Mus musculus: one gene and its partners. The protein of the gene in region 3 purifies or fractionates together with the protein of the main gene of each other region. This does not show direct contact. Links are inferred from orthologs where the notes say so. Each region holds a gene or a part of one and is shown on either strand. Other genes may lie near its edges. The genes, in order: Vamp3, Stx6, Stx7, Bet1, Stx8, Vamp8 and Pttg1ip.

The links.
Region 1: the proteins of Stx7 (region 3) and Vamp3 purify together in Homo sapiens (affinity purification with mass spectrometry; 3 studies listed by BioGRID and IntAct, counting the BioPlex papers as one, with this or other methods). This does not show direct contact. The link is inferred for Mus musculus from reciprocal best matches to the Homo sapiens genes STX7 and VAMP3.
Region 2: the proteins of Stx7 (region 3) and Stx6 purify together in Homo sapiens (affinity purification with mass spectrometry; 3 studies listed by BioGRID and IntAct, counting the BioPlex papers as one, with this or other methods). This does not show direct contact. The link is inferred for Mus musculus from reciprocal best matches to the Homo sapiens genes STX7 and STX6.
Region 4: the proteins of Stx7 (region 3) and Bet1 purify together in Homo sapiens (affinity purification with mass spectrometry; 3 studies listed by BioGRID and IntAct, with this or other methods). This does not show direct contact. The link is inferred for Mus musculus from reciprocal best matches to the Homo sapiens genes STX7 and BET1.
Region 5: the proteins of Stx7 (region 3) and Stx8 purify together in Homo sapiens (affinity purification with mass spectrometry; 5 studies listed by BioGRID and IntAct, counting the BioPlex papers as one, with this or other methods). This does not show direct contact. The link is inferred for Mus musculus from reciprocal best matches to the Homo sapiens genes STX7 and STX8.
Region 6: the proteins of Stx7 (region 3) and Vamp8 purify together in Homo sapiens (affinity purification with mass spectrometry; 7 studies listed by BioGRID and IntAct, counting the BioPlex papers as one, with this or other methods). This does not show direct contact. The link is inferred for Mus musculus from reciprocal best matches to the Homo sapiens genes STX7 and VAMP8.
Region 7: the proteins of Stx7 (region 3) and Pttg1ip purify together in Homo sapiens (affinity purification with mass spectrometry; 3 studies listed by BioGRID and IntAct, counting the BioPlex papers as one, with this or other methods). This does not show direct contact. The link is inferred for Mus musculus from reciprocal best matches to the Homo sapiens genes STX7 and PTTG1IP.

What each region holds. Positions count from the first base shown.
Region 1 is NC_000070.6:151,047,909-151,051,466, forward strand, and holds part of Vamp3 (vesicle-associated membrane protein 3), read right to left. Parts: exon of another isoform or gene 3,168-3,558; coding exon 3,009-3,167; intron 2,139-3,008; coding exon 2,087-2,138; intron 1,139-2,086; coding exon 1,122-1,138; 3' UTR 1-1,121. UniProt on the Homo sapiens protein: SNARE involved in vesicular transport from the late endosomes to the trans-Golgi network.
Region 2 is NC_000067.6:155,157,204-155,161,552, forward strand, and holds the start of Stx6 (syntaxin-6), read left to right. Parts: upstream 1-1,499; 5' UTR 1,500-1,689; coding exon 1,690-1,724; intron 1,725-4,349. UniProt on the Homo sapiens protein: SNARE promoting movement of transport vesicles to target membranes. Targets endosomes to the trans-Golgi network, and may therefore function in retrograde trafficking.
Region 3 is NC_000076.6:24,147,762-24,152,116, forward strand, and holds the start of Stx7 (syntaxin-7), read left to right. Parts: upstream 1-1,527; 5' UTR 1,528-1,647; exon of another isoform or gene 1,648-1,965; intron 1,966-4,355. UniProt on the Homo sapiens protein: May be involved in protein trafficking from the plasma membrane to the early endosome (EE) as well as in homotypic fusion of endocytic organelles. Mediates the endocytic trafficking from early endosomes to late endosomes and lysosomes.
Region 4 is NC_000072.6:4,084,096-4,088,266, reverse strand, and holds the start of Bet1 (BET1 homolog), read left to right. Parts: upstream 1-1,336; 5' UTR 1,337-1,471; coding exon 1,472-1,490; intron 1,491-4,171. UniProt on the Homo sapiens protein: Required for vesicular transport from the ER to the Golgi complex. Functions as a SNARE involved in the docking process of ER-derived vesicles with the cis-Golgi membrane.
Region 5 is NC_000077.6:67,969,430-67,972,987, reverse strand, and holds part of Stx8 (syntaxin-8), read right to left. Parts: intron 3,217-3,558; coding exon 3,117-3,216; intron 1-3,116. UniProt on the Homo sapiens protein: Vesicle trafficking protein that functions in the early secretory pathway, possibly by mediating retrograde transport from cis-Golgi membranes to the ER.
Region 6 is NC_000072.6:72,387,845-72,392,057, reverse strand, and holds the start of Vamp8 (vesicle-associated membrane protein 8), read left to right. Parts: upstream 1-1,390; 5' UTR 1,391-1,581; coding exon 1,582-1,584; intron 1,585-3,637; coding exon 3,638-3,796; intron 3,797-4,213. UniProt on the Homo sapiens protein: SNAREs, soluble N-ethylmaleimide-sensitive factor-attachment protein receptors, are essential proteins for fusion of cellular membranes.
Region 7 is NC_000076.6:77,580,351-77,584,474, forward strand, and holds the start of Pttg1ip (pituitary tumor-transforming gene 1 protein-interacting protein precursor), read left to right. Parts: upstream 1-1,304; 5' UTR 1,305-1,471; coding exon 1,472-1,577; intron 1,578-4,124. UniProt on the Homo sapiens protein: May facilitate PTTG1 nuclear translocation.

The DNA of each region.
Region 1 (3,558 bases), on a different chromosome or scaffold from region 3:
GGCTACATTCTAAGAGCACCAGGCATCTCTGGTTAGCTATCCTCTACGAGTGACCGGTGGCTTACCTCAAGCATAAGACAGAGATGAGTACAAGCAGTACACAGTCTTCTGGAACTCTGTGCAGACTGATGCCTTGGTGAGGCTGCACGGCTACTGCTCACATCGCACTAGAGACCACAGCCTAGCTCAGTCTACAAACTGCTGGCTAAGTATCTTGTCTACAGGTGTGATCTGAGCCCACCTCCATAGCTCTAAAGAAGAAACCAAATCAGAATGACTAGCCTTCTCTATAGCATTTCACAGGATGGACTGCCGACATGTTGAAGGCTCGCTCTCACAGTATTAACATTTTTCTTAAAGGACACCTTGAGTTACATTTGGCACTTATTTGAATGTATCTATTGGGGCAATTTATTTGTACTTAACTTTTGGCAAAATAGAAACTTTGGTCATAGTTCTATAAAAACTTCTTAAAGGGTTATTTCTGGTTAAAATACTATTTTAGGAGTGATATACAACAAGAACAAGAAAGTAAACATAGTCATATCTAACATAAGAGCATGAGCTCTTCACCAGCATCTTAAATACAGCGGGAGTCAGTAGTGCTTACAAACGGAGAATAATCTTAAAGAACAGTTTCCTAGCTATCAAAATAAGGCACACCCTGCTATTGTCACCCATTGCTGTTAGGCAGTAGTGTTCTTCTTGGAAGGTCCAAGTTAGGAATCTAATTACCCAAAAGTTTAAAATGTGGTTTTGAAGATGATGTCAGATGTGGGGACAGCTGCCTTGAACAAAACCCCCTTCCTGGAATCCACAACAAGTCATCTTGAGTGACAACATCCACCTCCATTCAGCACTCAGAACTACACAAGTCCTCTTTCCCAGTCCAGAAATCTGTAAAGGCACTGTGCAAAATGTGGGGAGGGTAGGTCACACCTCCAGTTTGGAGTGTATATGAAAAACAAAGGCACATTTTCTAGGCACTAAACTGTATGTAAACTAACAAAAATAATCATTTGGAAAAAAAACAATAGGTAAGCTCGATAACACGGCAGGTTCTAAGTAGAAAGTCTTGAAGAAGATCCTGAATATCGGGCTTCAGTTTCATCGGTTCTTCATTAAGAGACACACCACACTAAGAGGCAGGGAAGATTTAGAAACAATGAAAAGGGCATGTTAGTCTTTGTGTGTGCAAATACTCAGTAGGGATGGACTTCTACTGTCTAAAGAGGGACAGAGAGAAACTGACTTGGCCAGTTTTCCACTGGCAGCTTCTTTACATGCTACAGGGCTCTGGGGAAGACTAAACTCAAAAGTGGAAAAGGAAATACTAACAAGAACTAGCAAAGGAAGGCATGCTTTGCTAGGATGTTCGCATAGACTGGAATGAAAATAAAGTGAGTTCTTCTAATATGCAGTCACAAGAGTGGTGGGAGTAGCTATGTGCTAGCTATATACATTATTTACATAATTACTATTTCTGTTCTCCTATGCCAGGTACTTTCTTATGTAATAACCAGGTTTGTCCTAACAACACAAGGTGGACACCATTACCATCTTCATTTTATTCATGAGGACACTTGAGGTCCAGACAGACCCAACTGCTTGCCCAAAGTCACAGAGCCTTACTACAGGTGGCATAGCTGGGATGGATCAACTCAGCTAATCACTACATTCCACAAAAGGACACAGACTAAAACTGCACAGGAGAGAAAAATTGACCAGACATTAGGAGTGAGATTTGCTATTCTTAAAGGATAAGTGCACCCATCTATCCATCATCCATCTAACAAAACACCAGACTTTAATTACAAAAACTCAAATATTTAGGATCATTTTGGTGGCACAGGCCTATAATCCTAGCGCTTGAAATGTTAAGGCGGAAAGATCACAAGTTCAAGGCCAGCCTGGGTTGAACATCGAGACCCTGCCTCGAGACCCTGCCTCAAACTTCCCGCAATACCATCATCTCAAAACACCCTCAAGTATTTAAAATACTTGATAAAGAACGATATTTAAACCTTGGACTGAATCCACTCTTTGCTGCTGCACAGACGAACGTCTATGACCATGGGTAACTCACCGATGATGATGATGACAATGATCACCAGGACACTGATCCCTATCGCCCACATCTGCAACAAGACAGATCCATTTAACATTGCAAAACAGACAGTGCTCGCCGCAACCGCTACAGTGTGAAATAATTTATATAATTTCTAAAGCCTAAATTTTATATTTTCAGTTAAGTCCTGAAATTTAGTTATGGGCTTTCAGAAGTAGATTCCAATCCTCTGTGACCTCTGAAAACACACACATTTCCACACAGGCTCCTGATCTTGTCCCATTATCTCAGAGTGTCCTTTCTAAACAAAGCATAACAGGAAGTGTGTGAGCTCTAATCACAGACATTCCCATTTGCTAAGTCTGCTTTGGACAATATTCATATGTTGCTTTCTCCTCTTTTTGAACAAGGTGGGATTTCTTAGCATTTAACTTTTTTTTTTTTTTAAAGATTTATTTATTTATTATATGTAATACACTGTAGCTGTCTTCAGACACTCCAGAAGAGGGAGTCAGATCTCGTTACGGATGGTTGTGAGCCACCATGTGGTTGCTGGGATTTGAACTCCTGACCTTCGGAAGAGCAGTCGGGTGCTCTTACCCACTGAGCCATCTCACGAGCCCAGCATTTAACTTTTGAAATTGGAGCCATTCCCAGAATGGGCAGTTAACTGAGCATCAAAGCCAATAGCCCCGTCAGTGTGTTCTCAGTTACCTAGGTCTAGTGCCCACGACTGCTTGGGCCGTCTGATTCTGCATGTCTTCTAACTTTAGCCACAAAACATGGCATTAGATTCCCAGCTGTGGGCCAGGAAAAGGGATATAGACTCATAGTTGGCCAAGATTCTACCCACTACCCAGAGTCACCCAATGCAACAGAGTGCCTGTGCAACACTTGGGGTATGGAGGCCCGCTGTGAAGGTCTGTCAAGAGAGCATTACCTTGCAGTTCTTCCACCAATACTTTCTCTTCAACTTGGCAGCACTTGTTTCAAACTGCGAGGCACCTGCCTGCAGTGCATCTGCGCGGTCATCTAGCTCCGAGAGCTTCTGGTCTCTTTCTAACACCTTATCCACATTGACTCTCATGATGTCAACCACCTAAATGGACATGGTCACAGTTACACGGAAAGGAGAGGAAGAACAAAACTCCACATGACACCTATGGGCACTTTGTATTTTTTTCCAGATCAGTACTTTATTATGTTGAGCTAAACTTCCACTTAAGAAGGAAGCCCAGGCCTTTGGGATACATCCACACAGCAAACCAGGAATAGAAGAGACTTCAATTACAGAGAAGCCCACATTAGTATCACATACTATGGTGAGAGACTCAACTTCCTTCTAAGATCTGAAGCAGAACAACAGGATGTTTCACTTTCATGGCTGTTCAACACTACACTGGCAGTCTTGGTCAGGGCAATTATCCAGGGGAAGAAAGGCATCCGGTTGGAACAGAGGAGTACAACTATCTGTGCCACATGTAAGAAAC
Region 2 (4,349 bases), on a different chromosome or scaffold from region 3:
AGCTCCTTGGGGACAAGAGTATTCATCTCGGAGTCCTTAGTGCCCTGAGCAGAGTAAAGAAGCTCAGGTGTGCTGGATTTTGCCAATACTTTGTACACTGTAGGAGAAAGATGTTACTATGGTATCCATCCAGAGACAGGACAGTCAACAATTAAGAACCTGGCTTGACACGGCTTCTGGGACTAGCAGAGCTGAGGTTTGACCTTCAAGGATCAGGCTCATCTGCTCTTCCACTTACATGCCATTGTCAATGAACATTTTATCTCTGAATTTCAGTAGGTAGGTAGCCAAAGCCTGCAACTCTCCCGGCAGCTCCCCTTCCCGACACCTGCCACCCACCGCTCCTTCAGGAGTTCAGAGAAGCCTGGCGTCTTTGACTTTTGCTTCTCACTTCTCTTCTCCTCCCTTCCTCTATCATGTCCTCTTGCTGTCCTCTAAACAACAGCTTCCTTCAGGGGTCCCTGACGGCATTGGGGCCTCAGAGTTCACATAACATTCCTCCTACTCCACCCCTACACATCCTGGCTGTCCTAGAACTAGCTCATTAGACCAGACTGGCCTCAGACTCATAGAGATCCATCTGCCTCTGCCCCTTGAGTGCGGGTCTTAATGGTGTGTGCCACCACCACCTTACATCTTAAAGATGAGGAATTGAATGGGGGACTTCAGGTTCAAAGGGAATTTGTTTGATGCAAGCTCCAAGGAGACTAAAGAATTTGGCTAAGTCACGTAACCTCTCGGAGTCCAAGCTCATTCATAAAATGAAGATGATAAATAATAGGAATGTGACAGTGAGATAACTTAGAATCCTGTCCAATGCTCAGTCACTGCTCAGTGATTATCAATAATCAAAGGTCACAGTTCTCATCCAAGAAGTTACGCACAGTGTGTCTAATTGTGCCATATAAAATGCTCTGGATGTTCTGCAATCGTAGTTGAAAGGAAGTGATCCCGTCTGGCTCCTTCTTTGCTTTCAGAATGAAGTACAAATGTCCGGGATCTGTGGATCTGTGTGTCTGGGGTTGTGTGACCCTGTACAGGAAAGAATGAAGTCTCTAACAAATTAGAAACAGTAGGATCGTCCTCCAAAAGAGTATTGATTGAGGATGTTTATACAGCCTTTACACACTGCATGACCTAAGACCTTACCATAATCAGATCTTTTGAGAATCCTTTAGTGCAAGACGATGATTAGATGGGCATGTAAATCACAGGGAGTTAAAAGCAAGTATTAAAAGTAGAGAAAAGGTAAAAGGTCTATGCAAATCAGACACAGCAACAGCTTTCTTAAAATCCTCATTGCCTTCTCCAGGCAGCAGAAGACCGCCCCCACTATCCAGAGCCCCGCCTCTCGGGCCTAGTGACGCAAGCTAGGCTCCGCCCCTCTCCGGCGCAGGGCCTGGGCGATCTGGGTCACGTGAGCCTGAGTGCGGAAGTGAGGCTGCGGTACGCGTCCATGATTGGTAGTGGCGAAGGTTCTGGGGGCGGGGCCAGACGCCGGAGGTGCCGGGGGAGGAGGCTGCCGTGGGGGCCGGCTTGGAGTGGGATTCGACCCGCGGCGCTGACCGACTGCTGGACCGACGGCCGACGGGCACCCGGGTCTGCGCGCACTGCTGCTCCGGGTCGCCCCGGCCGAGGCGCTGGCCACGGTAGACCTCAGGGAGGGCTCGGGCTGCCGGGCCGGGCGCCATGTCCATGGAGGACCCCTTCTTTGTAGTGAAGGGGTGAGTGTGGGCCGAGGACTCCCGCCTCAGAGAGAGGGGAGGGAAATCGAGGCAGGGCGACACAGCCTCTGTGCTCGGACACCGCGCGTCGTTTGGGGCCGGGCCCCTGGGGTCCCACTATCGGCCCGCACCGCCACTTCCTCGGGGTCGCGCGCCGCAGGTGGGGAGCGACGCGCCGGAGCCGGCCGACAGCATCTGGGCAGGAAAAGGGAAATGGCCCTCTTGGAGTGGGCGTGCGCGGGGGCGAGCTCCATTGTGGAGTCGTGGAGCTAGCTCGGGACGGCCACCCCGCGGCTTGCCCGGTAGTGTCCAGCGGGTGCGGGAGCCGGTGCGGGAGGACGCGCGCTTTCCCGGGGGAGGAAAAGTCCTCCAGGCCGGGTGCTGATGTTGGAAGGAAAACAATATGCAATCAGCCAAACCAAACTTTCCGAGGGTTTCTTGTGAGCCACCGGGGTTTTCCCACCGTGTCGAAGGAAATGAGTGTTTCTATTGAACTCCTTGGTTTCATCCTGGGTGTTTGACAGGTTTCCCTCACTTCACGTTCTGCCTTTTTAGAAGCCTACTGCCCTCGTTTTGCGACAGAACTGTCCTGACTCCATCTTTGTTTATCTGTTGGGAGATGAAAACATCAATTGCACTTTGTTGTATCAACTTTGTAGCCATTACACAAAAGCAAGAAAGCGCAATTATGATGTCGCAACTTATTTCTAATAATGTGTCAGTTTTATGCTTTGAATGTCAGAGAAATGTCAAAAATCTGAGAACTGCGAAGTTAAGACAGAGTAAGTTCTACTGACTGCAAAGTGTTCTTTGCTTTTAACTAGTTGCTACTTGCATCTTACTTGTATAGTGGTAAAAGCTGACCAGTTGTGTGGGTGTTTGTTTTTGTATTTAAGAGTCCTGGGAAACTTAAAATGAGATACTTTACTATCCTTGGTGTGTACAGTCAATGCACAATCAAATATATTATGACTGCTTTTTTTTTTTTTTTTGGCTTTTTGAGACAGAGTTTCTCTGTGTAACTCCCTTGAACTCACTGAGATCTGCCTGCCTCTGCTTCCTGAGTGCTGGGATTAAAGGCCAGCTTGGCTAAGATTGTCTCTACGTTTCCTTAAAAGGGTTTTTCTTTTGCCTTGCTTTAATTTAGTCGGGGAATAGGAAGGTATATATTTAACAGTAAAATCTGCCTACCTGGAAATTGTGTTCTATATTATGGAATTGATTAAGATTTTAGTTGGTTTTGTTTTTAAATTTAGAGTTAGAGTTGTATACTTTTCCCTTGAATGGAAGGGTTTTCTTGGGTTTTTGTCTTATTTTGTGGAGTGGTAAGTGAATGTTGTGGCATGCATGTGGAAATCAGAGGACAACTTGCAGGAACTTCTCCTCTTTCACTGCGTGGGTCTCAGGGATCTAACTCAAGTCTCAGGCTTGGCCGCAGGCACCTTTGTCTGCTGAGCCATCTCACCAGCCCCAGAACTGAAGTTTTTGACATTCAGGTTGCAAAGGTTATCTCTGGCAGTGAGTAGATAGCAGAGGTAACCAGCGGATTTCTCTGTTCGCCTTTGAGGGAAACATGGAAAGTTCTTTATTGCTCAGCCATATTGGTATTTACCCCTGCAAGTCTACTAGCACTTACTTTACTTGCTGACTAGGTATTACTACTCTATTAGGACACTGTCCTCGGTCACTTGTTGCAGGAGAAAAGACAAGCCAGCCACATCAGTGTCTCAGGATGTGTGATAGCATATCCATGAACATCATTTTATTAACAGGATTGAGGGCCACTGAGATATCTTGGTAGATAAGGGCTCATGCAGCCAAGCCTGATGACCTGAATTTGATCCCCAGAACCCACCTGCAGGAATTTACACACACACACACATACACACACACACACACACACACACACACACACACACACACACTCTCTCTCTCTCTCTCTCTCTCTCTCTCTCTCTCTCTCCAAAGTTTCAAAAACAAGATTATTGAAAATGCATCACAGGGTAGAAAAAGTAAAGATGCCTCAAATATGACTCTGAAACAAGGTGCTTCTAGAGTAATCAGCGGAATAAATCACATCAGAATTAAGTAGACATGACAGGTGATCGGTAAGTGTAGCAGTGTTTCCTAGAGATGATGAGCATCTCAGGTGTTCAGAGAAAAGGCAGTGCCTTAGGAATTGTTATGGTGGGAAAAGCTATTGGAACAGGGATGTTTTGAAGGTAGCAGAATTCAGACAACTTAGACCTCTTTCTCCTGTCTAGGGATTTAGAAAAGAGACATGCTTCCTGCTTCCATTTTATTTCTTCTATCTTTTTTTTTTTTTTTTTTTTGGTTTGTTTTTGTTTTTCGAGACAGGGTTTCTCTGTGTAGCCCTGGCTGTCCTGGAACTCACTCTGTAGACCAGGCTGTCCTCGAACTCAGAAATCCGCCTGCCTCTGCCTCCTGAGTGCTGGGATTAAAGGTGTGCACCACCACTGCCCGGCTCTTCTGTCTTTTGATGTGTTTGCTTAAAACTACTCAGTGGAAGCGGGAGGTGGTGACACAGGTCTTTAATCCCATCACTCCAGAGGCAGAGGTAGGCAGATCTCTTGAATTTGAAGCCAGCCTGGTCTACAAAATGCT
Region 3 (4,355 bases):
GTTGCTTCAGAATAGACTCTCAGCAGATATTAGTTGTCTGGATCCGGTGGCAGGAAGGATTCAAGAGTCTGGACAGGACACTTAAGGCTTTGTTGTTCCTAATTACCTGTGTGACTTAGAAGTGTTTGGTGTTTCAGGTTCCTTAATCTGTATTATGAGGAAACAGAACCAGATTTTCTAAAAGGGACTCTGTAGCTTTAACAGCTAACATGACTTTCTATTAGAGGTTATTGCCTTGTCAAAGAATGATTTTTAAAAATAAAACAATTTTGAAAAAGGGAGAGATTTCAAAGAAAAACTTGAATTTCCTCTGTATCTTGGAAAACATACAATGTCACTATGATGGACTAATACTTCTAAAAGTTCACAGTGGAGATGATAGGTAGAACTCAGGGGTAGATCAACTACCTGAAATGTGAGGCCTTGGGTTTGATCCCTCATTCCTCAAAACAAAACCACAAACAACCCGGGACAATGATACAGGTCTGTACTCTGAACGATGAGGCAGGTTGCAAGTTCAAGGTCTACCTGGATTACAGAGTGAGTTCAAGGTTAATATCTGGGTAACCTGTGTAGACTTTGTTTCAAAAACAACAACAACAACAACAAAAACCACTGGAGATAGAGGACAGAGTGAAGGCCTCTCATGTCCAAGGACCTTGGTTCAATTTCCAGTGCTGGACAAAACAGCAAACCTCAACAGTTCACCATGGCCCGAGCTGAATCACATGACTTTAAATGAGTACATGTTCTTTGATCCACTGGGTGGATCCTACTGAGAAGACGCTGTGTTTGAGTCTGACCTAAGTCATCTACGTATGCTTGCAGGTGTAAAACCAACCAACATACAGTTTGCTCTGTGGTTCTGATTCACAATAGTATGGATTCCCCCTACCTCCACTTGAAGTCTATCGAACTTTTGGTATCATGTGTTTTCATGCTCTTTCCAGAAATAACACCATCTTAATTATAGGCAAATCCAAGGCAATCTATTCTAATTAATTTGGCAAAGTATTTCTTTCACATGAACAACTGATGTTTCTCATCCGAGAGGTCACATGCTTGAAGAGTTATTGTTGGAACAGTGTGTGCTCTTAAAGCCTGGGAAAACCACATCCTGTATTTCAAGGATGCGATACCAACTATGAGCCAGGAAAACATCTTTATCAAGTGGGCATTAGGAGATTATCTTTCATTTATCCTTCCGGGGCTTTAGCTAGGATTGCCTTGACATTTTTGCAGTGACATTTTAAAAATGGAGTTGTCAAGTCTACCACAGAGCTGAGGGTTAGGAAACAGAACCTTTAAAAGCTGAGAGTGCTCCCTCAGTCCAGGGAGTCTGGCGCCTCCGAATAAAGAACCCAGCTCTTCTCTATTGTATTGCTTCCTCTTCTGTTGCCCATAGACATCACTTTGTCACCCATCAGAGCTTGGCTCCCCAGCAATTTTGCCAGTCCCTCCAAGCTTCAGCTGTCACTGGCCAATGGGAGAGACGCAAGCCCCGCCTCCTCCTTCCTGGGGCTGTGCCCCGAGCATGCGCAGTGGGCGTGCTTGTGCCGCCGCCCATCAGCTGAGACCGGCTGCGCCAGGCAGTGGGCCCCCGGGTGACAGCGGCTGGAGGTGGCCGAGGAAGCCGGCGAGGTCAGGGTAAGAGGAGACTGCAGAGGCGGGGGAGAGGGGGGCGGGAGGGACACCTCAGAACTGCAGCTCGCTAGTGGTTGCTTTGGGGTGCGCAGAGCGGGGCTCCCCAGGGCGCAGGGCCGGCGCCTCCCTCTCGGGCTCCCACGCCCCGCTCCGGACTCCGGGACGCGACGTGCGAGCACCGGGGCGCGCGGCAATGGAGCCTTGGGGACCGGATACTACCGCCAGATCCTGGCAGGCTACGACCGTGTTCCCATTCTCTGTCAACTTCTCCTCCGAAGAACAGAAAGGGAAACGCGATGGGCCCTGGTCATCTGGCCACAGGTTCGTTCCGCGGCCCAGGGCCTTTGCTTGGCTGTTGGCCTTACTCACACAAGCTAACTTTCTTTGACCTACCTTGTGCTCGTTTCAATTGATTTATGCAAGACACATAACAAGGTAACAAGGTATTTCGAGAATTCGCATATGTGTTTTCTAGGTTAAATTCAGACCAAAAAAAAAAAAAAAGCTTGGACGAGGGTGGGAAGAGGAAGGAAGCTTTACAGTCAAATGCTAATTTTTCCTTATAGCTGTTAAAATTTTGCTTGCATTTTATATGCATATATCAATTTTTGATTGCGTCAGATCTCGTATTTTGTCAGGAATTATTATTTACAAGTTTTCCACAATCAGGAAAATAAAAGGAATTAACTGTGAAACACTGGTTTGGTCCTGTTGGAGGTAGGCATTTCTTTTAGGTGTACTCTGAGCCGCAGTGAACAGAGATTGATAACACTGTTAAATTGTGCCTTGTGGTGCCGATGGGTCTTCGGCTTTGCAAGCTGCTTTCGAAGTTGGCCCCCAGGCTTGTGACTAGTTAAGAACGAGGCTGTAGTTTCCCAGTGTCTGGGGAAGTTAATAGAACACAGTATTAACTCACTGACCTCTGGGTTCTTTTCCTTCAGCTAGCTCACTTCTTATGCTGCTCCTGATTAACAGTCGTTTCTAATTCTGATTATTATCCCAAGTTCATCCATACGCTGCTGGTGGAAAATTATGAATAATTATGTTGAGCTATATGCCACTAAATGGTGTGTGCACAAGGCCCTGGTTCAGTCCCCAGTACTGCAGGGAAATATTACCTCTATGTCTACTAGTACTGCTAGATAAAACTCCCACAGTTAAGTCTGTGTGGATTTTTCTCTGGTTCAGTGTAACTTGAAATATTAATGTGTGAAACTGTGGAGGAAAAAAAATCTTGGTTAATTAAGCTGAAACCAAACAGTGTAGCGTTTGGATTGATGAAGGAGCTGGGCAAAGATGCACTTGTGGACCGAATACTCATATGGAAGATTGAGCACCCTCATGATTGATTGTCTCCTATGATTCCTCTCCTGTTTGTTTTAGGAATTGAAAACAAAGAGTGTGAATGCTCCCATCTTCTAAGTATGATGCATCGCTTGAAGTAGAAGTTACATTGATAGAGACTTCTCATTTCAGACCTGGCATCTTTAGTGTGTGATAACACCTTACTGAGACAAAGAGCTAGTCCTCAAAGGGGCTGGGTGTGTATCATGGAAAGGGCCATCTACAGATAGAAAGGGACACTGAGAAAAGCCCAGGTAGCAATAAGCCTGAAACAGTATTTTAGAAATGTTTATATTTACTCTTAGGCTGGGCATGTGTTCATAGGAAATCGGTACACTTGTTCATTCAGACTTACAACATTTATTCAGGATCTACTTTGTAGCCAAGTACTTAGAGAATAGACTAAGTCCAAGATTTACACTCCCCCACACACCACACATACACACACACACAAACACACACATACACACAGCACACACACACACCATACACACACTCCACACGTACACACCACACCCCACACACACATATACACCACACACGCAATACACTGCACACACATACCACACACACTCACACACCATACACACACATCATACACACCACACACACACACACACACACACACACACACACACACACACACAAAAATTAAAACCTGGGGAACAAAGGAGGAAACTCATATTTTATGCTGGGCTTCATGATTAAGAAAGTGAAACTGACCATTTGATTTGAGCAGGCTAAATTTTAAGCCAGTGTCTGCTCAGAGGAAGTCTTCAAGATTCTACAGTATGTCCATTAGTAACTACAGGGTAGTGTTTTACATTCAAGACTCTGTATCAAAATCCCCTTTGTTCATTTTTAAATTGCCCTTTCCACACAGTCTTGAGACAGCGCTCACTATAGGTGTTACTGTTTGACTCTCCCGTCTCCTCTTTCACCTTAGTGTTTATCTTCATAAAAAGATAATTACTGAGCTGTTGAGTTGAACCCTGCCCAGTAGTACTTTCTGTGGGGGATGAAGGGAATATGTGAGCTGTCCCAGCTGCTGGCCACTGGCCACATACAGTTTCTTAGCACTTGAAAGGTGGCCGAGGTGGCCTTCTTCTACCTTAGTTCATTTTGATAGTTGTGTGCAGGCAGTGCAGGTGCACATGAGGAGTGATGTAATTATTTTGAGCAAAGACACTAGGACACAAATGCTTTGAGTATTGCAGCTCAAGCTAGGCAATGCAGATGGTTATAGAGTACAAACATTTTATAAGCATAGAGTTAATTAGCTCACATGTAAAAACAGACTTCAGAGCCATTTGTCAATAACTGTCTATAAACATAAGTGTTTATTTCTTTCCAACAAAGGTAACCAC
Region 4 (4,171 bases), on a different chromosome or scaffold from region 3:
ATGCAAGTTTATGGTTATGCAGCCAATGTAGTGACCCTGTGCCCTTGCTCAAACCCCCACACTTGTTTGGTGTGCCTCATTGTTCTGAAACTCTTAATAATTTTTGTCTTTGATCTTGTATCATGCAAATGAAGTCTAATGGCATAATATAACATGCTCATGTGCAAATGATATATTTGTAATAAGTGTTTTTATTGTTCTTCATTAATATGCTCTGGATTCTGATAGCCCTCTGACTCATCAAATTTTGCAAGATATTAAAAGCTACAAGGTGAAGATGGCATGTTTATGCTCGAGTATGAACACTTATAGTTCCCATAGTCACATGTTGTACTTGAATAAGAACTTGTGATAAAATCATCAAGGATCTTTGTTATATCCCCATACTCATCTCACATTCTGTATTAGTTGAATTGAAAATTATCACATAGCAATAGAAGCAAAGAAGGCGGAACTTAGACTCTTTCTTTCAGCCATCAAACCACAGTAAGCTGAGGGCAGAGTGTTAGTGCAATGTGTTTCTATTATGAAGTATAATGTGTGTAGTGAGGTGGTTCAGCAGCTAAGGGTACTTGCTGCATATGTAGCAGAGGATGGCTACATGCTCCATGGAAACAAGTATGAGGTATTTGTGTGTACGTTTTAAAAGCTCTAAGTAGGGTGGAGTGTTTAAAAGCTAAATATCACAGTTCTTTCCAGACTTAGATCAAATGCGTTAGGAAGCTGAGACTCCCCACTTCCCTACCCGGAAGTTCTACTGCAAGGATACATACATACATACATACATACACACACACACACACACACACACACACACACACACACACACATATATATATATATATATATATGTGTATATATATATATATTTTTTTTTAACTATTCCACTGGGCAGGATCAGGAAGGAAGAGGATTGATTTTCCTTTCCTGCTAAGAGGCTCAGACAGTAAGATGAGACTCTGTTTGAACAAAGTTTGCACTGACTTTCTCACCTCTGACTTTGGGTGAGCGGGAGTGCAAGGGAAAATCATGAAAGAGTCAACCATCATCCCGGCTAGGGAGGGGTAACTCTCCCAGGTTAAAGTTGGCACTAACATCAAAAAGTGCCATACTAAAAGTTCTGGATTAAGTAATGACCCAGAATAACAGGACTAGAGCCCCAGCAGCTGTCGCTGCCCTTCCGGAAGCCCCGCCCATTCCAGGCATTGTTCCTACCACGCCCCTCTTACCCAGTGCCCCAGAAGACGGAAAACTACATTTCCCAGAATGCAACTAGTAATCGCATTTCAGGACGCCTATATGTGTCCGAGTGACGACATAAACCGGCGCGGTGTTTAGACTTTACTGATGTCGTGGCGCTCTGAGGCAAAAAGTTGTTGCTCTTAGGAGCCCTGGGACTGAAGCCGAGGTCGGGTGACCCTGGCCCTTTCCTACTCACTCCTCCTTGCCCGCCTTTCCCTCTCCTGGCAGGATGAGGCGTGCAGGCCTGGGTAAGAACAGTGCTGAGGTTCGAAGTTTGGGGACCCTAGGACCTGCTGAGTCGGGAGCAGGGTTGTGGGAGGAGACTACCGGCCCTCTGTCAATGACTTTGGTGTTCAAAAGCGAGTTATTTGGGTTCTTTGGAGAAGGTTCTCTTCCTGTGTCCTAGTTCCGAACGGTTTCCTGAAGTTGTATTTAGACAAAAGTTTAAACCTATATGCTAGGTTGCACAGAGCGGTGAATTGGTTAGCATAAGTTTTTCTTTTTCTATGTGCTAGTTTGGGGAGTAACCCAATTTCCCAAGCCTTGCTGTTTCCTTTGCTTTACTCATTCTGGATCTTAACTTTTTTTTTTTTTTTTTAAGAAATGACATTTGGGGAGTAGTAAGCTTTAAGCCCACTAATAATGATGCGTTAGTTTGATAACCGTGAGTTACAAAGGTGAATTTACGTGTCCTTATTGTTAAAGTGCCTGTTATGAAAGGTCTGGGTCAAAGGCGAGTTACTTGGAACACTTCTGACCTAGACCTTGTCCCACTGCTAAGGCAGTAGATGTTGGTTTTGATGACTTAAATGGGTCAGGGGAAGGAATAGCTTAGTAATAACTGAAGTTCTTTCTCTATTAGCCATGTCTTAAAGAAGGAAGGGCAGAATGCTTGAAAAAAATGTGTGAAATATTAAAAAGGATGTTGCTGTTCTGGCAGACATTGGAATAGTAAAAAAAAAAATAGTTTTTAAAAATTTGAGGTGTTAAAGCCAGTGAATGGACAAACACTTAAAGTTAGGTATGAAAACTAAAGCCTCTTTTGCAACTCATAATTCACGGCTTGTTATGGGTTTTGATTATGTAAGAAGGAACACAATATTCATGACAGTGCAGAGACATGGTAGTAGTTTCAATAAGGTTGGTTATAGGAATAGAATGTGTGGACTTTAAAACCACTGAAAAATAAGGGCCTTGAATGGTGTCAGTAATATAGATTGACAGGGTTGTCAATAAGTAGTTGCATGTGAAGAAGTTGTAAATTTAGTTTTATGAATCCTTTCAGTCATTGAAAGAAATTAGTTCATCTCAAATAACCTAAAGAACTATTTTCAAACATGATTAGTCATATATGCCTACATTTTTCCAACACTAATAACAGCAGACATTTATTGTGACGCACCATGTGCTTCCCAAAGCTTTCAGGGTTACTGTGGAGCAGAAGATAAATTGCTGCGGAAGCAGATGACAAAGTACGATCCAAGGTGGTAACTTCATCCCAGTACAGGTTAAGTTCATCGGATAGTAAATGCAGTGGGGGCTTAATAATCCATGGCTCACGGTGGGCTTCCTGGAGCCGGAGAACCTGAAGGATGCTGGTGACTGTGAGGGTTGGGAGAAGTAAGTCCCAGATGAGAAGATGGCCAAACAAGATTCAGGGTAGTTATGAATGATGTATACAAGAGGTTGTGGTGATGAAGTCACTCTGAGTGAAGCTAGGACCCTGAGGCACCCGAACGATCTGACTATTCAAGGACTTTACATTCATCAGTAGGCCACTGGCCTATTGGAATTTTGTTTGTGCTGTACTGTTTTTAATACGTGCAGGTCAGGGATTTGACAGTAGGTTTCTATCTCTGACTTGTATTGTATGTTACAATTACTCAGAAAGATGTTAAATTAGATTTTCAATTAAATTAGAATCAGCAGGCAAGAGTCCCCTCCTAAGTCTTTTTGAAGTGCAGTGAAGAAGAGGGGTAATTATTTGTTTAAGTATGCTTATCACTTAAATTGGTGTTGAATTATGAAGACCTAAAAGTATCATTGTGTGCTGACCTGAATTTGAAATTTGAAATAATAGTGAGTCTGATAAGCATTTGTATGTAAAACCTGCCACCTTACACAGGAGCTGTTAAATGAATTGGCCTGCTTCAAGGAAGTAGCACTTTTCAGATGGCATCAGCTGGAAATGACCTTCAAGACTCGCCTTTCTACAGTTCATCATAGTAGTAATTAATTCTCACTGAAAAATTGGATCTCAGTTGGAATAGCAATTGTAGTATTTTATTTTACCTTAGTTGGTTTTGTTTTGTTTTTCTGTTTGGGGGTGGAAGATGATGTGAAGAAAGATCAAATTTGCAACTGCATTAAAATTTCTGGATCAAAAAAAGGAACATTTTGCTTTAAAAGAACAAAGTAGAAGAACTCTGAAATTAAGTATAAGATAGGCTAGAGAGTCAAAACAAAAGAAATAAATCAAAATAGCCATTAATTTTGGACAAATTAGTTAATGAAGTTGTCCAGTGATTAACTATCCAATCCAGAATTACTTAGTCACATTAAACAAGTTGAAGATCTTAAATCTTGTTAAGAGTTTGCAGAGATTATTTTAAGTGTTGATTTTAGTTGGTGAGCTGCGAAAAACAACTATGCCCTGTCCTCCAGCTTTTAATCTGTTTGAAAATATGTGTGGAGAAAGAGAGAGACCATGCCAGCCAGCAAGTGTGCAACTGTCCCCTCTCTTTGAAATATTTAACATTTTGTTATGGCTTTTGTGGTAAACGGAGAAATATAGGCGTCTGGTACATAGAAAGTGCTCATTAGGTGCAAGAGGCCAGAGAAGCAAAAGACATTCTGCTGTTGACAAAATTGGTTTACAGTAAAGGAAAAATGTCCTTTTTAGTTCATTTATAAGTATTTACTTAAGTAT
Region 5 (3,558 bases), on a different chromosome or scaffold from region 3:
AACTGGAATTCTTCTGTAAAATTCACTGTATTTTATCCACCCTGGAGCCATGCAGGAAATTGTGTTCCCCCAGTCTATGCTCAAAAGCAAAGCCCAACAGTTCCCTCAACCATACTTCAGATGACAAGGTGTCAGGTCCCATTACCATCCTGACTGGTCTCTGAGCACTCTGGTGTATTTATAGCCCATGTGAACACTGGAGAGTGCGTGCTCTGTTTCCATGAAAGGAATGTTAACCATGCATGGCTCTTCTTCTACAACTGTGGGAATTTTCTCCAATCATCCTCAAAACCCAGAGGACATGTCTGTTTGTGACTCTAAAGATGAAGAAGGGGTGGGGAGAGCCCCACTCTGACATTTGGAAATGTGAAGAACAAAAGGACCCATTTAAATGAAAACATATTGGACCATGGATGAAATCAGAGAGGAATATTAAAAAGGCAGAATGCCACTGTTCTCACTGCTGCTTGCTAAAAGTAGCAGTTACTTGGGGCATGTTAGGGTGCGAGTTGGGGCGCGCCTATAATCCCAGCTCTGAGGAGGTGAGAGGATCTCTAAGAAAGAGTTAAAGGTCAGCATGGTCCAGGCCAGCAAAGGCTTCCAGTGAGACCCTCACTCAACAAACAACAACAAAGTAGCAGCTATATAGCTCAGGGAGAAGTAGGACACACACACCACAAACTCTATCCAAAGGGTACAACACACAACACACACACACACACACATACTCGCACACTCAAACAAATGTAATTTTACAAATTTTAAATCAAGTCATAAAATGAAATGTCACCCAAAAAGAAAATAGCCCAGAAACCAACTGCACTGTGATGCCATAGGGGAGCATTCCGTAGTAAGATCTCTTAAAATTTTATAAGAAAATAATATTTAATAATCAAGAGAAAACTTCCTTAGTTGTAATAAAGCAGAAATTTCAGAATATACAAAAAAGAAGCAAAACCACTGACTTAAATAACTGAAAAAACAAAACAAACAAAAACTCCTGCATGCCATTCCCACTCAAGGATGACAAAACGCTAGTGAACTATCAGAAAACTCAGAACTACATTGAAAAGGACAAGATGCTACCATGAAGTACAATTTTATCTTGCAAGGTAAGACTGGCTTAGTGGTAGAACCCTAAAAAGAAAGCTCGCAGTGTCAAAGATTAAAAACAGAATAAGCATATGATTAACACAGTGTAGGGAAATTTAGACGACACTGTCTGAACAGTATCACTCAGCTGTGATCTAGAAGTTCTTACTAACAGATCAAGACTCAGGAAATACTAAGGGCTCAAAGGAAACTAAAGTATTACTTGCAGATGGAGAATAATCCCCTTGAGAAAGTGAAAGAGAATCAGTTCGGGGCTGGGGAGATGGTTCTGTCAGGAGAGTGCTTGCTATGCAAGCACGAAGACCCGAGTTTGAGGTCCAAGCACCCATGTAAAAAGGCCAGGCACGCTGATGATCCCAGCACTGAGGATATGGGGATGGGAGCATCGATGGGGCTCACTAGCCATCTGGTCTACCCAAATTGGTTAAGTTCCAAGTTCAATGAGAGATGCTGTCTCAAAACAAAACAGACAAGCAAACAAAAACCCCACAAGCAAACAATAACAAGAACAACAACAATAAGACAAAAAAACTACCCAGCAATCAAGAAAGCACCCATCCTTAACCTCTGGCCTTCACACGGAGACACACACGTGTATATACACACATAAACAAGTACATATACTGCGTGTGTGCACACACACGCACAAAGTCAATTCAGTAGAGTGATCAAGCCAGGTATGGTGGCTCAGACCTACTATGCCAGCACTCAGAAGGTGGAAGTAGGAGGATAAGGAGCCCAAGACCAGCCTGAACTACAGAAGCACAGCCTGGGTGTATGACAGCCTGTCTCTTAATTAATTAATTAATTAATTAATTAAAAACATAAAATAATATCAACAAAATCTGAAGGAATATTTGTAAACTGGTAGTGGGCACACAGTAACTACGTAGTAAACGCTGCGCTTAGAGTGGATCAAAAGGAAGCACTAGCACTACTGAAAACCTGACCCCGCCCCTTTACTTAATCCACAAACCCACTACCTGTCTATTTAAAATCCATTTGGAATCTTGTTATTGATAATTAAGATACAGTGCAATTTTTTTTTAGTGACATTTTATAAAATTACCTATAAAATGACAAACATCTGTAATCTTAGGCTCAGGAGATGAGATCATGGTGTAAGTCTAGCCTGGACTACACAGTGATTCCAAGGCACCCTGGGCTACACAGCGAGACCCTGACTCAAAAACAAGCAAGCAAACAAACAAACAAACGAATGAATGAACAAACAAGTAAAATTACCCTGAAGGGGAAAAAGAGAATGAAAATAAGACAAATGATATTTATGCAAAATAAAGGGGAGTGCCTGTGCCTATCATAGTGTGCACATGACTGGGTACTGCATTTATTTCTTTGGTTTGCTGCTTAACCTGTTTGGTGTTGAGATAAGATCTCCCTATGTAGCCCACACAATTGGATAAGGAGTTATTATAAACAAAACACAGGGGGCTAGGGGAGGGCTTGGGAACCGGCTTGCTGCACACTCTTGGGGATCTGTGTTTCATCCCCAGCAGGCCACACAGGAGGCAAAAGTCAGGCACGGCAGCCTGGAGCTAACTGGCCAGTCTGACTAAGTTGGTAAACACCTGATTCAATGGCAAACCCAGTCTCAAAAGGACAAGGTGGAAAGTGACAAAACAACTTCTGGCCTCCACATGCACACAAGTACATACAGGTGCATGCACACACACACACACACACACCCAAGGGTAGGGTGCCAGCAGCTGCCAAAGGTGTGAACTCTATGGAGTGTGATGCCAGTGGCTATCAAAAGTATGAAGAACAGCAGCTATATAAAGTCAGTGAATGAAATATAGAGGATTTTATATCTCCGGGGAGTGGCAAAAAAAGTAAAATTCGCTACAACATATGAAAACACATTTCAAAGATTTAAAAGACTTACACACACATACACACCACCCCACAACGCCCCGCATGCCCCAGATCTAGCAATGGTTTCAGACATCGGAGCTTAGCACGTTGATTCCTCCATGTATTACCTTCGGTGTCTTTTCACCTCTTCTTTCACACTGATTTCGTTCTTGAATCTTCTCAGCGATTTCTTGGGCTATCTGACACGTAGAATCGTATGTGGAGAACCTGCATCAAAGTCAAAGTCAGGTTAAAGTTCTTTAAAAGAAAGTGCTGGCTGAGTGTGGTATTGCATGCCTTTAATCCTAGCATTGCAAAGGTGGAGGAAGGAGTGCGAGGCCAGCCTGGTCTAAAAGAACACAGTGACAAGGAGACACTGTTTCAGGGCAGGAGACACAGAGGAAAGATGAGAAGTGACGTGCAGAAGCACACTGCAGGGACAGCAGGAACTGTGTATCTGCAGCAAAAAAAAAAAAAAAACCGCTCTGACAGGAGAGCCTGGCAGACTCCTCAGCCTGCCACAGTTCTCTCAGAACGCTGACTGGCTTTCCACTTGCTGCTCAACAGTGT
Region 6 (4,213 bases), on a different chromosome or scaffold from region 3:
ACACACACTTAAAGATAATAAGATAAAAACTTTTAGCCGGGAGTGGTGATGCACACCTTTAATCCCAGCACTTGGGAGGCAGAGGCAAGTGGATTTCTGAGTTCGAGGCCAGCCTGGTCTACAAAGTGAGTTCCAGGACAGCCAGGGATATACAGAGAAACCCTGTCTCGGAAAAAAAAAACAAACAAATAAACAAAAAAAAAAAAAACCCAAAAAAAAAACCCAAAAAAACCAACAACAACAAAAAAAATTTTTAAAGATTTTTTTAAAGTGTTACTAGTTGCTTTAATTTGCTTCTGTAAAACTAAGCGTGCAGTGTTTGTAGATATAGCTCCTCCATGGCTGCCTGAGCAGGCACGAGGGAAAACACATAAGTGTCCCAAAATGATTCCGGGATTCTAAATTTATTATAGCCAACAAAATGAAACAAAACAAAACCCCTCTTATTTGTTGGAGGAGCTAAGATTTCCTCCTTGACGGTGTTATTTACTCTGGGGTGGGAAAGAATGTCTGTTCTCTTTCTGCCCTGTTATTGTTCTGTCTTGACAAACTCCATCCGGAGAAGAGCAGATTTTCTCTGGCGGAGAGCCACATGTGGTGGAAAAACCCTTTACTCTTAGGCCCCCATCCTAATCTGTCTGACAACCCTCTGACAACTGACCAGGGTCACCAACCCCCACGGTGACCTTTGGAAGGAAGTGTAGGACTGCTCAACTCCAGAAGGAAAGGAGGGGCTGGTGAGTGAGCCATTTCCCCGACTGTCCTGTGTCCTGTGACAAGGATAAGGTGCCCTGCCCCTGCTGTTTGCACTCCTCCCACTGCCTGAGGTCAGCCTTAGCACCCGAAGAACATTAGAGGGGGACAAAGATCCCACCCCCAGGGCCAACTTGGAATTTTCCTGGAGATTTTAAAGACTTTAATTATGTGTATGTGTGTGTATGTATGCACACGTATGTTCACATACCCACAGAGGCCAGAAGAGGGCATCTGGACCGCCCCTGCCCCCCCCCCCCCCCCGAGATGCAGATACAGGTGTCTGTGAGCAGCCAGGGGTGGGTGTAGGGACCTGAACCTGGGTTACTGCAAAAGCAGCGGGTGATCCCAACTGCTGACCCATCTCCCTAGCCCCCGTTTTCTGGGGGATCTTAGAGCTCTCTTCTCATACAGGATGGCCCTTGGGGACAAAGGTTGCCCAACAAGGTATCTTCGCCTGTACATTCGTTTCTATCTAAATAATGCTAATGTAAGTCCCTGAAAAACTAGAATTACTTCTTTGAAGCATAAAAGAAGTTTCTGAAAACTTAGGAGGACTGTTGATCCTTCTTTTCTCCTTCCCCCCTCCCCCAACCCTGTTGCTTAAGCTTTTGTTTGGGAGGAGACTAGGAGGACGGCAGCAGAGGGCAGCCGCCTACCTGGAGAAACCTGCAGTTACGTGTGTGGCAGGAGCCGGAGTGGCTGGAGTCGCGGGATGGTCAGGAGGCGGGCTGAAAGTTGGAGTAAGCAGGAAGTGAAGCTGTGGCTGCCTTGGGTGGAAACAGACTAGGCGAAGTTCTGCTTTGAGAGGCCCAAGTGCTCCGAGACATGGTGAGTGACGTGGGGACCAAGAAAAGAGCGAGTTAGAGCAGCTGCCAGAGGGGGATCGGGCCTGGGGGTTGCCTGTGTCGAGAAAGGTAAGTTGGCGGCAGTCAGAGGGCTGGCGGGGTTGGGCCAGCGCTGCCTCTGTCTCCTTACTTTTGACAACTCCTCCACAAATAGCTCCGCACTCCGGGCCAGGGGTTCCTGACACTTCTCCACCTCCTTCCTCCCGTGACCTCGGTGCTGGATCCGATCAGGATTTCGGTGGGGGTTGGGGGACCCAAATTCCAAGCCGAGCTGCTGCGCCGCGCCCTCCCCCTCCTCCGCCTCCTCCAGCTGGGCCTGAGCCCGGTGTTGTGACATTACCGGGCCACAAGCGTTCCTGCTCTTTGGGGCTCAGATTCCAGCCCCGCGGACTGGAGTTCTCCCCCTTACCCTCGCACTGTATCTATGCAGACACCCAGAGGATCTATCTGCCTGGCCACCAAAAGCACCACCCTTTTCTAGAAACATTAGCAACAGTGCCAAGGGTTTGTAAAGCAGCCAGATGGCGGTTCTTCCCGATAATCTAGCTTCAGCCCACACCCGTGGCCGGTACCTGAGGCCCCCTGGGTCCCTAAGGGAGGAGTCAGGCCTCTTCCCTCCTTGTTCAAAAGCCTTATCTAGAGGCCTCCTGGATAGAGCGACCGCAGCAGGAAGGACTTTTATTAATATCTGCATAAGCAGGCGGTGGTGTGCGGCCTACCAGGCGTTAAATTGTGGGGAAAGCAGAAGTATATGGTCCAACGGCACATGATGCCTTCTGGGGGCCACATCCACTGAACCGGGGCTACACTGCCCAGTAGGCTGGAACCAGAACTCACCAACAGCTGTCTGGAGAAGGGCATTTATTTGGGTTGGGCCGGGCAAGAGTGTGCTGCTGGTCAACTCTCACAGTTTTAGAGAGAACCCACTAGGATTGAGCCGAGGGAGGCTACAGGAACCAGTTAATAGTTCTTGGCTGTGCTCTGCTGAGGAAACGTCAGCTGGGTTTTCTCCTTGACCCTCTTTGTGGAGTCAAGACAGGGGCAGTCGTGTGCTGTTTTTTTGTTTGTTTGTTTTTTGTTTTTTGTTTTTTTTTGTTTTTCCTTGTCACGCTGAAAATCCTCCAAAGAAGGTGGATGAGAATCCAGGGTCAAACCTCATCTTCTGGGACTTAAAAAATGCACTTACATGGCTGGCAGCCGAGATGGCTGGGCAGGTACAAGTGTTTGCAGAGCAAGCCTGCCTGCCTGAATTCAGTATCCTGCTCTCTCCTGCCCATCCAACTGGAGGAGACAATCCACTCATGAAAGTTGTCCTCTCACCTCCACATGCGTGCCGTGGCATGTGCATACACGTATATTCCCCAGCACACACACACACACACAATGCACTTATGACAGACTAAGGATGTGGTTCAGCTGATAGAGTGTTTGCCTGGCAAGCGTCAAGCTCTGGGTTTCATCCCCAGCACCTCATAAAACAAGGATAATGGTACACACCTGGAATCCCAGCCCAGGGTAAGTAGAGACAGGGGGTCAGATGTTTAAGGCCATCCTACTTAGGAAGCCTATGGCCTGCCTAGGTTATATGAGAACCTGCCTCAGATAAATAAATCTGGGGAGGTGGCTCAGTGGGCTTGCTACGCAAGCATGAAGATTTGCATTGGATCCCTAGACCCATTTAGAAGGAAAAAAATTCCAGGTGTGGTGGTGCAAGCAAGCACTTAGGTGGCTCCTAGTGCTAGGGTGGTGGAGAAGGCTGAGCCCTGGGGCTTTTTGTCCACTCTAATCTCAGAGCCTCAGGCCAACAGGAGACCCAGCCTGTGGGGGAAAAAACAAGGGAGGAGTGACACCTGACCACCCGAGGCTGATCTGGGATATAAACGTGCTTGCATCGAAGTGAACATTTACGTAGAACATTCTCCTGGTAAACAGTTGAAGCATCAGAAACGGCTAAAATCTACTTTAGTTCTTCCAACCTCCTCTGGCCTCTTGGATCCTCTGCTGCCCGGCCTAATTAACCCCTTATTGACATCCAGGAGGAGGCCAGTGGGAGTGCCGGAAATGACCGAGTTAGGAACCTGCAGAGTGAGGTGGAGGGAGTCAAGAATATTATGACCCAGAATGTGGAGCGGATCTTGGCCAGAGGGGAGAACCTGGACCACCTCCGAAACAAGACAGAGGACTTGGAAGCCACGGTGAGATTGGGAGAAAACTGGGAGTTGGTGGGGGCAGATCTCGGGGAGGGGGAGAAGTTTGGGTGGGGAGGCAAAGTGAACAGAAGGGACTGCAGACTGTCATGTCTACTGCCCTTTTGCCTATGCAGGAGATGGCTGAGGTTCCACCTCTGCTTCCTTGCTACTCTGCTGGCTGGTAGAGAGCCCAGTGAGTGGTTGGATTTGAGCTTGGGTGAGGGGCCCACCCACAGAGCCATTTCTGAGACAGTTCAGTCAACTGCTCCATTCCTAAGCTTCATTGGGGTATGAAACTGATTTTTGTCTCAAAGCTTGCCCTTGGCAACCATTTGGAGTTGATGTCCCAAAGGCAAAGTTATGAGTTCCGGGCAACCCTTGGCCTTTCAGCATTCTCCCTCCAGGTGTAATTAGGCTGGAAGT
Region 7 (4,124 bases), about 53 Mb from region 3:
CCCCACCCCCAAGAAATCCTATATAAGCTCTGCCTTTGGCTTCGTTCTCTGCTGCTTTTCACCCTAGCAGAATTAGCTGCCCTCCTGTTTTTGTTGTTGTTGTTGCTGTTGTTTGTTTGCTTTTTTTCCCTCTCCATAAATCTCTTGTGTGCCTCATGTGTCGTGTGACTTTGTGGTATTCCTTGGCTCCCAATTGCCAGGAAGCCTCTCTAGCAGAGCTGTAACATTTTCCCCGGAACAGAACTTGGCTGGGGAAAACCTGCCTGGCCGAAGTAAAGCTGTAACGCTTTCACTGGGGAAAGCCTCCCTCTGGCAAAGCAGAATTGTTACACTTTGGCTGGAGAAGTCTTCCTCTGCAGAGCAGACCTGTGACACTTTCCATGGGAACCCCCTCCTGCAGCAGAACTGTTATACTTCCTTTGGGAAAACCTTCTGCCGCAGCACCAGGAGTGGAGCTGGAACGCTTCAAGCCTTTCCCTTCAGAGTTGCAACACTTACAGTCATAACTAGCTTGTATCAAATGGACATAAAGCTGGTGGGCTCAAGCTTGTATCCTATTTTGCTTACTCCTACTGGAGTCTGGGTCTTTAATGAGTCGAGAAACTTGGGATCCAGAGTCCCGCATTGATCTTTTTGGTGTCTGGCTATCTAGGTCTCTGGTTCATGCACAATCAAGCAGGGAAGGTACCCTCTTACTCAAAGCTCCTGTGTCTTCAAGTTTGCGTCCCCAGTCACTATCAATAAGGATTTGTTTTGTTTTCTTTGAGTCAGGGTCTCATTGGTTAAGGAAGACCTTGAACTTCTGATCCTTCCAATGCTCCACCCCCAAGTGCTGAGATGATAGGTGTGTGTTATCACGACTCATTTGTGAGGTTCTGAGGATGGAACTCGGAGGCTTTGTGCATGCATTGGTTGCCAGGCAAGCAATTCTACCATCTAAGCTACACCCTCCACATTCCCTCAGTGATTTAAACGCCTTTCAGTAACAAGTTCGAGACAGCTTGGATGCTGTTTTAACGTAAATCCACAAAACCTGCCCTCTGGACACGCATACGGCTCTGGCAGAGAATTAACAGGACTGGCAGAGGTTTCCAAGGGTTGGCGGCTACAGAGCAGTTGTGTTAGGCAGAGCAGCTGAGCCTCAGAACCCGCCTCAGAGTCCAGCAGCTCCATTCCAGAGCAAGTGGCAAAGCTTCGCTGTCCACTGCCCAGCCTAGTAGTCTACTACGCACGCGCGCTGCTCTGACGCTCCGGTTATTGCTCCCTCCCCGCAGTTCCAGCAGCGCGCAGGCGTGCTAAGCCTCAGCTGCGCCCGTAGGCGGGCGGAGGTCAGGGGGCGGAGCCAGCGGCTGCGCACTCGCAAGCTCCGCCCGTCTGGCTAGCTTACGGAGGCGGAGCGCTTACTGTGGAAACATCCTAGCTCGGCGTTGGAGTTGAGTCGCCTGAGGTCCCCGCCGACGACGCACTCACCATGGCGCCTGCTAACCTTGGGCTGACGCCGCACTGGGTGATGCTCCTCGGTGCCGTGCTGCTGTTGCTTCTGTCCGGAGCCTCCGCGCAGGAACCTCCGAGAGTGGGTAAGGCCCGTGGGCCTAGGGGCCGAGGAGTAGGAGGAGGGCGGCCGGGTCGGATCCAGGGCGGAGTCCAGCCCGCGGGCTTGGCTGCCTCTGCGCTCACGCCCTCCCTTGAAGCTGGGTAAGGCAGCCAGCCTCTGCTGGAAGTTAACGTCGTGCCCTGAGGCACGAAAGACTCGGCTAGTCGGAACCGACGCCTCGGCACCTGCTTAGCATCTCGGGGACCATCTGCATTCCAGCACTGTTTTTGTTTGAGGGGAATCAGGGAGCTGACAAGTTGTGTCCAAGACTGAGGCTTGGTCAACTTTGACCTTTGTACGCTCGCTAGAGTTGATGAGGCGCTGCAAGAGAGTATTTTTGTTAGCTCAGGCTCTCTCAAGGTGTCTTTACACTCTAGCCTGTCACGGTGTGTTTTCTCTTTGTGACCTTTTGCCAGTTGTCGCGTCTCTCTGTTTAAGTTTCTTATCTGCTCCCAGGTATGCCTAGGACCGGTCTGGGACTGCCTCACTCCTGCTACCTTGGTGAGGGTGACTAAAGGAGCTGACCCTGGCCGCCCCGGGGAACTTGGGGCTAGATTCTCCAGTAAGGACTTTATGCCAGGCAGAGTGTTGGGGAGCCTGTGGAGACCCAGGACCCTTCCCAGTGTCTCAAGGGTGTCTGCTGCGATACTGGGGGGAGGGGGGGGGGCACGAACCTTCACCTGTTACCAACCACCACGTGTTAGGTGTAAGGATTCTACTCCTTGACATTCTATAGGGAGATAGCTGATGTTTAAAACGGCTAGTCTTTACAAGGAATTTGCATAAATTTACATTACCGTATCCTGTATCCCAAAACTCGCCTTTTTTTGTTGTTTGAGACTGGGTTCAGGCTGGTTTTGAACTTTTTTGTTTGTTTTTTCGAGACAGTGTGTCTCTGTGTAGCCCTGGCTGTCCTGGAACTCACTCTGTAGACCAGGCTGGCCTTGAACTCAGAGATCCGCCTGCCTCTGCCTCCCTAGTGCTGGGATTAAAGGCGTGTGCCACCACGCCCAGCTTGGTTTTGAACTTAAAGGTGTCTGCCTGCCTCTGCCTCTCAAATGCTGACCATAAAGCATTTGCCCTGCCTGGCAAAACTCACCCTTTAAATATTTTTTGTGTGCTTCACAGAACCTGTAGTAGATTATAGATCCGTAGAGTGAAATTTGCGACATTGAGGACACTTTGACAGGGCTTTTGGACCCTCTACTAATGGCGTGTGGAGTCACTGTCTCTGAGCTTCATCTTGGGAAAACAGTCCCTAAAAGGGCTGCAGTGGTGTTAGGAACACTAAGACACAGTGATGGCTGGTGCAGGTCTCCAAGTAGTGGGTCCTTACTGAACACCCCAGTTTGTAGAGGAATCTGCAGTTCCCCTCCCTCTGTCCCTGAGGAACCTGCCTTAGTGAACTGTATTATTCAATACTGCATACATGCCTTTTGGGGTGTCCTGCCCCTCCTTTTCTCAAACAGTGCAGTGTTGAGGACTACTTTGTCAAGCAAGTGTACTCCCAACATGACATTCGAGATGTCCTCTGAGTTCTGAATTCTGTCACCAGAGTGGGCACTCTTAAGCCCTTTCAAGTTCATTTCACTTGGGGGCACAGGAGATGGCAGCATGTTTCATAGGTTTACAATGAGTAAGGTTCACTTCCTTAGTTTCCACAATTATTCCTTTCCCACATGTAGGTGTGTCTTTTTGTCCTGAGGACCTGAGTCGACTCACCCGAAACGTCAAGGACCCACTCAGAAGCGAGTCACTATTTATTGCCTTTCCATTTAGTTATTAAATGAGTCTGAAAGTTCTTTAATAATGAGTAAATAGCTATTCTAAACTGAACTCTAAGCCACAGTGCCTCAGAGTCAGGACATCCGTGATCAGCATTGAGAAACCACAAGGACATTGTTCCTATCTCCAGTGTGTGGTTGGCTGTGTCCCGTGATGAGGTGAGAGATACTGTGTGTGGCCTCCCTGAAATGTGAGCCACGGGGCAGCAGGTTGTCAGTGTTTCCTTCCTTGCCACATGAGTCTGGGAGTTACTTCAGCCAGAATGCCTGCCATTGATGCTCTCCGGTACACAAGGTCTGTGGAGGAGGAGGGCTGGCCCCTGGGGATTCAGACTGCCAAGTAATGGGCAGGGCCAGCATGGCCATTCTCAGGGACTCAGGGGCTCAGGGTGTGTTTCTTGGAACTCAGTCTTTCAGTTCTCAAAAGCCCAGTTACCAAAACATCCTGTAACAGATCCGGACCTCGTCATTCCGGGGACATTGTGTGGGCTGATAGTAAGCAAGACCATCCTTTCTTGTGGATGACTTTGAAAACGCTGGAGAGTGGGTGTGTTCAGCACACCCTCAGCTGTCAGCATTAATGAGAAGGATCCCAGTGTGGGGGTGTAGGAGCGCTAAGGGGCAGTACAACCAGCTAATGGTGCAGCTGTCCTGAGTGACCGCATACTGTGCTGCTCCCTCTCTGTGCTTGTTAGGGTCGATCTGTCCCTCCCCTCCCCTCCCCTCCCCTCTCTGTCTCTCTGTCT